Linked DNA regions of Drosophila melanogaster. The protein of the gene in region 2 interacts with the protein of the main gene of each other region in a pairwise test. Each region holds a gene or a part of one and is shown on either strand. Other genes may lie near its edges. The genes, in order: CG6497, Rcd4 and e(r).

The links.
Region 1: the proteins of Rcd4 (region 2) and CG6497 interact in a two-hybrid assay, tested with the Drosophila melanogaster proteins (one large-scale study listed by BioGRID).
Region 3: the proteins of Rcd4 (region 2) and e(r) interact in a two-hybrid assay, tested with the Drosophila melanogaster proteins (one large-scale study listed by BioGRID).

The regions. Positions count from the first base shown.
Region 1 is NT_037436.4:17,251,812-17,255,738, reverse strand, and holds CG6497 (uncharacterized protein), read left to right. Parts: upstream 1-1,801; 5' UTR 1,802-1,915; coding exon 1,916-2,572; 3' UTR 2,573-3,362; downstream 3,363-3,927.
Region 2 is NT_033779.5:8,380,928-8,384,227, reverse strand, and holds Rcd4 (reduction in Cnn dots 4), read right to left. Parts: upstream 1,368-3,300; 5' UTR 1,273-1,367; coding exon 958-1,272; intron 894-957; coding exon 609-893; 3' UTR 571-608; downstream 1-570. Other genes in the region: Dad1 (defender against apoptotic cell death 1), read left to right, coding at 216-554; CG13392 (uncharacterized protein), read left to right, coding at 1,521-1,639, 1,705-2,257; AlaRS (Alanyl-tRNA synthetase), read left to right, coding at 2,786-3,300. UniProt on the Drosophila melanogaster protein: Participates in the later stages of centriole assembly through the interaction with Ana3 leading to the centriole to centrosome conversion in somatic cells.
Region 3 is NC_004354.4:8,903,602-8,908,031, reverse strand, and holds e(r) (enhancer of rudimentary), read left to right. Parts: upstream 1-1,783; 5' UTR 1,784-1,923; intron 1,924-2,041; exon of another isoform or gene 2,042-2,263; intron 2,264-2,443; exon of another isoform or gene 2,444-2,527; intron 2,528-2,647; 5' UTR 2,648-2,653; coding exon 2,654-2,968; 3' UTR 2,969-3,888; downstream 3,889-4,430.

The DNA.
Region 1 (3,927 bases), on a different chromosome or scaffold from region 2:
TCGAATGGTTTTCCCCGCGCTCCTTGGTGCGGTTGTGGTTCGTTGCTTGGTTATCGCCAGTGCCACTACTCACACAGCCGAAGACCACTGCCTGCACCACTACGAGTGCAGCGGCAACTGCAGATGCACTCGGAAAAATCGGATAGAGCTTCCGTTGATTGATGCGTATTGAAGCAAAGTAGAATGTTTTTTTCGGTCTTGAGACCCTAAGTTATGGTCTTGAAAGAGACAATTTCCAATCAGCTTGTATCTACCTAAGGCAACTATGAAGTAAATAAAAATATATTCTAAATATACCTCATTTCTTTTAATAAAAAAAAATTAACATAATTAATTAATTAACAAAAATTAATGAAATATATAATAACACAATTTATAAGGCACACCAAATTTAATGTTTTCTTTTCGTGCCTTTAATTTGAGTTTTACTTATGAAATGTAGTTGAAAGAGTGCATTATGTGCCTATAATTTGTATAAAAGGTGAAAGCTATGAAAATATCTCACTGTCAAATATTAATTGTTTTAATAAGAAAGCACTCGATTTTTGCAAGTGCGAACCTAGCAGAAGCAGCAACAACTACTTGGGTGCTGTCGGTGAGCCTGTTTTTTAGTGCCTTCCGTAACCATTAAATTTTACGTTTTTATTAGCGCGCACACACACACATACACAGACACAGACACACTTACGCGGAGGAAGGAGGAGGAAGAGGCCGAGAGTTGGCAGATAGGCCGTCCCCACCCACTGAACTCTACCGCCCACTACCGCCCACTCCGCCAACCATTTTTGAATATTTCCGTTTTGGCTGGCAGTTTTCGGTTTTCGGCTTGTCTACAAAATGCAGTTTTGCATGCACTTTGGCCTCGGCGCAAAAAGTCAACCGAAAAGAGACAATAATAAGTGCAGAGCACAAAAGGACGAACCCGAAAAAAGGGAAAGAGCAGCATAAAACGTCGAAAAAGTAGAGCCAAGAACATGAAAACGGAAAATTGCATTGCGCTCAGAAGTATGCTATGCTTTTTTCGCTTGCCTTATCAACGTCTCAAATCGGTTAGGGTTGATAGGAAAAGCGGAGGGGCGCAAGCGGGTTACTGGCAAAACTTAGTCCAGATAGCGAAATGTTGTCGCCCAACAGGACCTGGACGTATTTTACGTATTTTAGTTGCCTGCAGCACACGCAAAAAAAAATGAAGAATACAATGCAACCCAAAGACTTTAAGACAGTTCGAGTTGCAGTCGTGGGCGGTTCCATGCGAGTTGTGGCCACTGAAATTGGTTGCATGTTTCAGGGGAACAGACCTTTACCACATGAGTGCTGTTCAAAACTGCTCAAACCTTTACAGACAACACCAATAAAGCTCAATCCCTTCAGGCCAAACAAGTTCGACCCAGCCTCGTCGAGCTCGCAACTTGTTTGGCATCCACAACATTTGGTTGCAGGGTGAACGGGCTAAAAAAAAACTCTTATACTTTTGAGTAAAACTCAATTTCAATCCAATTCAATAGCTCATTCAAATCAGAGCAATTTAAAGACCATAATAATACTGCAGAATTAATAGTTTCATTTTTGAATAGAAATAAAGAGATAATCAGAGAACGAGAGATATAGAGATTATAAATGTTCATATGGCCAATTCAATGCGTGAGTTTGTTTTATATTTATTAAAAAAATTACAAAATATTAAGAACTTAACCTAATCAAGTATAATCACAGACAAATGCCACATAAGAGGCTTGTTAAAATCGTCTTTCATTTTGCATTACTCCGAACTAAGTAGACTAATTGTATGGATCAACCTTTCGGAACATAAGTACCAAAATTAACCGAAACGAAAATTCAAACCCAGTCGGACTCATCCCCTACCAGCCAGGAACCATACACCGAAAAAAGAAGGAACCAAAGGACACAGGACATAATGGAGCTGTGGCAGAAGCTACGAGTGCAGTTTAATGACTTCTTCCACGCGAACTACCCGTACATAGCGCTCTACAGCGGACTGGGCGTGGCAGTAACAGCCTACTTGCACTACCAATGGAGCGTGCACCACTACGACCTCATGTACTGGAAGCGTTTGGCGGAGGTCTTCTCGCAGGACATCGACTGCATCCAGCTGGCTATACTGCTCTTGATCTTCGCGATCAACGCCATTTTCGTATTCATCATCCTGAGCGTCTATCTGCGCCCAGCCCTCGACAATGGCAGTGAGATGTCCTTGCTGGAGATCAAGGATCGCTATGCCCGGTTCATACTGCTCCGCCTGATAGCCCGTCTCGATCGCATACAGTCGAAGATCTCAGCGAAGCGTAAGAGCCTCACCTTCCAGCACTATGTGAGGGCACACACGAACATGGTAAAGGCGGTGGCCGTGTTCCGCAAGGATGCACGCAAGCTAATCCTGCCGAATGAGAGCGAGATCCTGATGCCCATCGAGGACATCTACGGGGTGGCTGATGACGAAGAACGACTGCTTCGGCGATCGGGCTACTACAAGCTGATCATCGACACCACCGACGAGACGGTCAAGTCTCTGTTCAACGCCAAGCTGGAGGAGATCCTGTTCCCAACCAGCTAGACGACTCGGCGGTTCCGATTGAAACTTTGAGTAAACTGCAGTCCAACACTAATTGCCTTTATCTACTCTGCCAGAGCCGCAGCTCCGAGGGCCCCTTCTTAAAGCCGTTTTATTGTTTCAATTGTTTGGCTTGGCAGCTTTTTATGGCCGCATTGTGCGCCGGGCCAACAATAACAGGCCAGTCGGAGACTGTCAGCCGTCCCCAACCCCCAATAACAATAATGGCAAAAGAAACAGCAGCAGAAACAGCAGCAGAAACAGAAGCAGAAGCAGTTGCAGAACCAGACCAGAACTAGAAACAAAACTCCAACGAGGAACAGAGACTAAACTAAAATGCCAGCCCATGTCTGCACAGCTCAAAACAATATCTAATGTTGTCTACGGCAAAATATTTTGCAAAGCGTCTTTTTGTTTTGCCCGATTTCTGTGTCCTTCAGGCCTTTGTGTGTCGACTTTTCTTTAAAATTAGCTAAAAGGTTGTGTAAATTTAACTGAAAGTGGGATAGCAGTGAAAGAAAAGCGTTGCAGGGGATAAAGGATTCTTGGAATGCATCGTGGGTACGAAAAGCAACAAGGGCGACTAGGAAATATAAATAAATTTTCTTATGGGATGATATCTAACTAAATTACATTTTCGGATGGCATGAAGTGGACTAGAGTCCGCAGTCATTAGTGATTTAATCTAGAAAAAGAGGGGAAGAACCTTTTAGGAGGAGCGTCAAATTAGCATCAATAAAATTGGGCAATAATAAATTAAATTCATAAATTCAAACACTCAACAAAATTATATAATTGACTTTTTTGGTTTGTGGTCGTACGTGCGGGCATGACAACAATCTGAAATAAAGATGCATAAATTGTTAATCTGTTTAACAGTATCTTAAGTAGTTGTAGTTCTTGATCTAATAGTACCCGATATCTCGTCGTTCATACGGACAGTCAAACGGACAGTCAAGCGGACATTGTCAGTGATTCTGACTTTATAGTGTTACATACTTTACAACTAATCTACAAGATCTAAATGTTCGAATTTTTATGTCAGTTAAAAAAAGCGTCGAGACCTATTAATTTGTAAACGAAATTGTTAATTATCTTTTTGATTGTAATACGTTATTGTACAGATTGTTGTCGTGCCATTCAAGTCTCGCAGTTAACCATTTAAAATTCACATCCTTTCATTTGCTTCAACTCGATTTCCGCAGCTGCTGCTGTTGCTCACAAAATACAACTCATATCCTTGCCAATGACTTCAAAGCAGCGCATGCTTCGCTGCGCGCCAAAAAGTAGACAACAAAAGCCTTGATAATGAAAAGCGGAAAAAACACGCACTTTTAACTTCACTTTTGGCAGCTAAT
Region 2 (3,300 bases):
TTTTTAATATATAAACCTATTCTTTATTAAACTTCAAGGTATTGAGTGCCCACTGTACTTGCGCCTTCATCGATAAAGCTATCAGTATTATTTTCAAACTAGACGAACGGTCCTACTTTTGAGTTCTCTCCCAATTTGTGACGTGTCTGCGATTAATTTGTTAAAAAGCGCCTTTATCCTTAAATATCCGGACAAATATCACATAAAATAGCAAAATGGTGGAGCTGTCGAGCGTCATTTCCAAGTTCTACAACGACTACGTGCAGAATACGCCCAAGAAACTGAAGCTGGTGGACATCTACCTCGGCTACATTCTGCTCACCGGCATCATCCAGTTTGTTTACTGCTGCCTGGTTGGAACCTTCCCGTTCAACTCCTTCCTATCTGGTTTCATCAGCACCGTCAGCTGTTTCGTCCTGGCAGTGTGCCTACGCCTGCAGGCCAATCCCCAGAACAAGAGCGTGTTTGCCGGCATTTCGCCGGAACGCGGTTTCGCCGACTTCATCTTCGCTCATGTGATCCTTCATCTGGTGGTCATGAACTTCATCGGTTAACAAAGCTACAAACATTCTGATATTCTCGGATATATTTATAAATAAAATGTAACTCTAATTGTATGTTCTCCTATATGCGCCGAAAAAATCGAAGGGTCCTGGTTCCCAATCCAAGTGGAGTACTGGTTCCTTAACAGCCATGATCATGGGATCTACTTTCTCCGCATAGTCGGCTAGCTGGGGCTCGCTTATGGCCTTGCATGATTCCGATTCTTTCGATGTGTGCTTTAAGGCATCCGGTTTTCTATTGTGCGGCACCAGCACAGAATCGTTGACATTGAGAGGCACCAGGACCCCGAATACAACACGATTCGGAGCGAAGTTCATCTTTTTGGTGATCTTTGGGGTAGTTACAGAATATGTTATTATAAAACAGTATACATAATTGAAAACCTTAATTAACCTGTGGGGCGATAAAGTTAGAATCCTTATTAAGGTTCATATCCAGCTTAATGTTGGATATGATATGGGCCTCGTTCTGCTTGCGCACGGTGGTGTTGCATTTGGGCACGGCTAACTTGATCTCCGGGTTTTTCCCGTTGGTCATTGCACCTTCTTTGGCTTTCGGACTGTCCGGCGAACTGTTATCCGCATGAGAACCGTTGCAGGATTCGACGAGCACATTCGGCGGTGCAGACGACAGTTTGGCCACAGAAACGCGTCGCGCTGTGAAATTCCTTTGGTTCGCATGTACTCGGTTCCTACGTTTGTGAGGCATTTTAAGCAGACTCGCAAGAATTATGGTAGTACACTTCAATTCGCCTCTGATATAAAACAGCACGCAACACTGATTTGACCATTTAACAGCACTGATATGTCATCATCTGTAAATTTCGCGTTACTTTCCGAGACCTTTTTCCGATACCCACTGTATTCAACATTCTCACACCGGTTCGGGACTTATACAACACTGACCCATAAGCAGCTGTTTTCTGAGAACCAAATATTTTGATAAATTAATGAAAAATGGCATTATCACGCGCCAAGCCCGACGAACTGCCCAGGGACGCGGTGGTCATAACAGAGGATCAGGCCCTCAAATACCAATGGAAGATTATAACTTCCTGGGACAAAATAGGCGAAGTGTGAGTGCATGAAGCCTTCTAAAGTTGCCGCTTACCTAACAAGCGATCAAAATATTGCCTTGTAGATGGTCGTTGCGCTACACGCCCGGAATTCTGAGTGCTTTGGCTGCGGGAACGGGCGCCTACATAAATAATCATTATCGCACCAAGCTGCGACTTGGAGGACATGGTCGATTGTCCACTTACCTCCCGATTGTCGCCGTTCCCGCCATATTTACCATGCTGGCGCACAAGTTCTTTATTCAGCGGCCCATCCTACTAAATCCGCTGGGCGAGTGCCCGGTGTGCATCCAGATGCGCAGTGCTGCCTTTCAGACAAGTCTGGGCATCGTATATCCCACAATTCTGGCCCCATTCGCCGCATTTCTGTTCGCAACCCGCTGCTACACGTACCGTATTCCCTCGATTACGGAAAATCCCAGAGAAGTGTTTCTGTTGTGGCGGAAATTTACACGCCCCATTGTCCCAGCCTTAGGAACCTTAATCGGCCTGCAGGCCCTGCTAACCATGTTCCTTACTGGCCAGGAGGACAAGCAGAACTTTAAACTTATGTTACGCATGAGGGAGATCGAGCACCAGGTGGAGGAGGAACACTTGCCACAGCGAATGGACTTTTAATTGTTACACATTGTTAACTAGCTCAAATAGAGGCGCATTTAAGAGCTTATTCTAAATGCATTTTTTAAAATTTGTGATTTTTTACATATATCTGGAGGGTTCTAGAGTGCAATTAATGTAAATTAAGCAAGTGGACTTAATTTTAAATATAAAAAAATTATTTTCTTCATTATGCCATCTCTAAATCTATCGATATCTCATCCAGTTTGCCGCATTGTCTATCGAGCCAATCTCACACGTTGCTGCAGTCGGCTGACGAAATTGTTTGCATTTGCATTTACTGTTTGAAACGTGAGTAATACATAACTTGTTTTGGTTAGGTACCAGTGTGGTCTATTTACATATACGAAAAATAAACAAGTAAACGTTTTTTGATTCAATTCGCTTCCAAATTGTATAACTTTGTCACGTACTGTGCAAAGTGCACTTTCACTGCTCCGATTTGTGGCCGTTTTAAGGGGTTAGGGAGCCCCAATTGTCGCGTGGCAACGTTTACACTCACGATTTGTCCTTTGCAGAACCAGCAATATGAAGTTACTCACAGCAAAGGAGGTGCGCAACGCCTATCTGGACTTCTTCAAGGAGCAGAAGCACATCTATGTTCACTCGTCCAGCACGATTCCATTGGACGATCCCACGCTGTTGTTCGCCAACGCCGGCATGAATCAGTTCAAGCCCATTTTTCTGGGCACCGCTGATCCCAACAGCGAAATGTCCAAGTGGGTGCGCGTGGCCAACACGCAGAAGTGCATTCGCGCCGGTGGCAAGCACAACGATCTGGACGACGTGGGCAAGGATGTCTATCATCACACCTTCTTTGAAATGCTGGGAAACTGGTCCTTCGGTGACTACTTTAAGAAGGAGATCTGCTCCTGGGCCTGGGAGTTTCTCACGCAGCGACTCGCCCTACCCAAGGATCGTCTGTATGTGACTTACTTTGGTGGTGACGCGGCCAGCGGTCTGGAGCCCGATCTGGAGTGCAAGCAAATGTGGCTGGACTTGGGCCTGAAACCGGAACACATCCTGCCGGGCAGCATGAAGGA
Region 3 (4,430 bases), on a different chromosome or scaffold from region 2:
ACGTATATCAAACATTTACTGATATAGTTTTATATTAAATCAAATACACCGCAACAAATCTCGTGCAAACATCAGATAAGATATTGATACGATACGATAATTAGTATAATATTTAAACAATGCGCAGTCAGGAGAAATATAGAATGGCTTATCAATTTTAAAATAAAACTAACGGAAACAGTAATATTGTACATATTTCAGTTTCAACTCAAAGCATAAGTTTCTCTGTAGCCAAGACACCATTTGGTAAGTTAAGAAAACTATTAAGTGGACGTTTTTTTTTTTACCTTGATTTTGCCATTGGTCGCCGAGAACATTGAGATTTCGAGATTTCAGCGATAAGAGATGAGCAACAACACAAATCAAATAGAATGCACAAGAAACACAGATACAACACCCACACATGAATGATCGTGCAACGGTGTGCGCAGAACAGTGAAGAGGAAGCAGAGAGACGAAGCAGAGGCGACAAATTGGACACGCGTGCGTCGCGTTGGTTGGATTTTGTGTTTTCTTATTTGACTATTGCCTTTTCGGTGCTACTTTAACGGGTTTCCCCGTTTCACAGCCTTTATCATCTTATTTTCGCAGGGCTTTTTTGCTTTTCAATTTACTGCCTGGGTTTCATTTAACTTCGCTGCTCTTCTACTTCATTCATTATTTGATTTGTTTACGTTGCTATTTCCCAATTTGTTTGCTTCTTTTCACTTCATTTTCTTTCAATTAGGACGCACACAAACACACAGGAAAAAACAAAAAAAAAAAAAGAGAGACACGAACGCCACTTGCACAATTGAAAATAACAACAAATTAATGGGAACGCGCGAAACACGGGCTGCTGCGGCTGCGCCTTCACTTTTCACTAAAACAAAAAGCACGTAAATAATGTTGAGACGAGATTTTGCTTTTTGTTGTTGATTTCTTTGCCGATCGCTCTGCCGCCGCTCGACTGCGCTGCCCGCGACACCGCGCTCTTCCAATTGGTCCAATTGAGATCAAACAGCTGGTGGGCACTCGGATCTTCGATTGCCGCTGTCTGGCAGCACTGGGAACAGTGAGAACAGTGGCCAGACTGCGGAGCTGGCGATGGGCGATAGTTTTGTTTCATTAAAAGTAACTTTTGACTTTATATTAAATACAATACTAAAAAATGTAAAAATATGCTTTTTAATATGCACTTTAAGTGAAAATGATTGTACATTAAGTTTACTTCATAAAGACTTTAATGACCATAATTTGTTGATGGGCGTTAATTTTATTCTAACTTAAATAAACGTAATACCTAATATTTATATGTAATAACAAAATAAAATGAACCTAAATAAATAATGCAATCCACTTTAATTTGACATTATAATTATAATTTTTTTATAAATATATAAAATAAAAATAATAAATAAATAATTTCCGTAGTTATTGTAATGTATTACTATGATGAGTATATGTTAAAAGCTTTAGTTAATTTTATTTAAAAAATCTGAAGACTAAATATGGAATGAATTACGCCAAATGAAATGAAAATATGCATTGAAAAACATGCTTTATACCTAAAGGCGTAATATACATAAAGTGTGCTTTTCAATAAAAAAGTGAATGAACATAATATGGAATCAAATACATATACAAATTGAAATGCAAGTATACATTGATACAATTAAGTATAAAAAATCACAATTGTCATTTAATTTGGTAAATATTATTAAACAATGTATATCAAATAAAAGATGTTAGTATTAATCGATATCTTTCGATTATTTTGTCACGGCGAGGCACGCAGCGAAGCGCTCATCTCTAGCTTCAGCCTCCTCTTCAAAACCCATAGAACTGGCAAAATAAAAAAAAACGAATCAAGCGCTGATTTTACCGAATCTCTTTACTGAATCAGCATATTATCATAGTCCATATAGTCCGGCGTTCGAACGGGTAAGTTGAACACTAAACGGGAGACATGGGAATTATTTAAAATTCGAGAAAAATCGGTGAAAAGGAAGAAAAACAAGTGATTGCATACAGTTAGTTACACACACGCGGCGGCCGTTACTCCTTGTACATGTGTGTGCGTGTCTGTTCGCGCTTCCGAATGTTTGTGTTTTAGTGAAGCGGCATAAGCGTGCATTATCTTGTACAAATGTACGCATTTCTCCATTGCCAACATTCGCTTCACACACAAATTACTCGTTTTCCATGCTGGAAGTGCCATCTTAGTCTATTTCCCAGTTGCAAATTGGAAAATCAAAGAGCGTTCTGCTGGCCAGCATGTGTGGTGCGCGTGTATTGGTGTTGCGGCGAGAGCGCGAGCGAGATGGGGCGATGCGTTGCATGCGGCAACAGCATATCTCTTCCATCTCTTTCGTTTTTGTTCTTTTCCTTTTTTTTTTGTCTTTTTTTTTTTTGCTGACAGCTCTCTATGCTTCTAATAAATATTTATGCACAATTTTTGCAGAGCTGGCGAAGTAAACTTCAACTTCGAGAGTCTCGGAATCTTTCGGACTTTGCTATAGAAAAAACGCTTGTTAAAAAAAAGGATGTAAGTGATGAAGATGAAACGTAATGTAATGAAACGCACACTAGTAACATACATACATACATATCGCTTGAGTACATAGATCACCGCCAATAACATTAATGTTCCATTTTTGCCTTGCAGATCACCATGTCGCACACCATCCTATTGGTACAGCCGGGTGCTCGTCCGGAGACCCGCACTTACTGTGACTACGAGAGCGTCAACGAGTGCATGGAGGGCGTGTGCAAGATCTACGAGGAGCACCTGAAGCGCCGCAATCCAAACACTCCGACCATTACGTATGACATTAGCCAGCTATTCGATTTCATCGACACAATGGTGGACATTAGCTGCATGGTTTACCAGAAGAGCACCAATACCTATGCGCCCTACAATAAGGATTGGATCAAGGAGAAGATCTATGTGCTGCTCCGTCAGGCGGCATTTAGTTCCAATACCTAAAGGGACGGCGATGCGACAAGATACATACATATAAAACCAAATAACACGATGATGCATGCATCAATGCGTGCAACACTAACGACAACAACACGTTGATGTATGCAACAATGCGTGCAATAGCAACTACAACAACAACAACAATACGAGGATACATGCAACAGCGCTTGGAACAGCATCCGCAACGGCCACAACACCATAACACCAATAACACCAACAAGATGAGGAAGAAGAAGAAGATGATGATGGAGTGGTGGGGCATCGATTCCATTGGAGACTTGCTGCTACCGACTAGATCGCCAAATGACAGCAACTTTTTTTTGCAACATAACGCAATGCAAAAAAGGAAAAGGAACACAAAGAGAACGATAAACTGTATAACTTAGAAATGGAAAACTTACTTTAAACGTACTAATATATATATATATATATAAATATATATATAGGCGTATATATATATATATACTGTATATACACCCAACTGACAACTGTGTGTGTTTTTGTGTGTTTCAATGTTTTTTTGTGCGGCAGCCACAGGTGACGGTTGTTCTTATCGATAGCGAACTGTATGTTTGTTTGTTTGTAAAACCGAATGGCAAATTTGCAAGTGTGCATTTTTTTTTTGTATGTTTTGCCGTGTGTGCTAGCTTAAGTCTTTGCAATCTATCGAATAATAAACTAACACATCAGGACACACTGAGCATATATAAACATATTTGTAAACTACTGATTCCCCCCCCCCCCCTTTATCATTTGAACTTAGTTAAACAACAACTTTTAGCCCGCTGATTTTGCACACCGATGGGCTTTGTGGCGTTTTAACGGCTTGTTTTAAGCAAAACAGAACCTTTGGTCGCAGATGCGAAATGACCTTGAGATGCTGGTTGTTGTGTGTGTGGTGAGGGGGGAGGGGTAGGGGTTTGTGGGTTGTACCCCCGCCAGATATTCAATCGGATAACGAACTTGGACCGCCGCTGAATCGCTTGGCCGCACTGCATTGAACTTGGCGTGCGATATTTAATTAGCTCCGCGACAGCATTTTGTTAAATATATATATATATATATATATATATGTATATATGCACATTTAGTGTCGACTTGTGGATGCTGCTTACTAGCGTTAACTAGCAATAAACATAGTGTTTATAGTTTACCCATTATATTTGCTGAATATTAATGATCACTAGATTTCTCATTATTCAGACAAATATATTTGTTTGTGAAAAAAGCATTTGCTACAGCAAACTGTACAGTTTATTACAAAAATATGTATATATATTTTCAAAAAAAAAAAAAAAAGAATTTCTCCTATTTAAAGTAGTTTGCTTGCCACGCAACTCCGCGCTTTTTACAGGGTATGCAATAGCGCTACAGCTGCGTCGAATATGGTGCATAGTTTTTTTTTTTAGAATATTTTTCAAAACTGGTTTTAAACACTGCATTGTCGCCACACCGCCCCGCACCG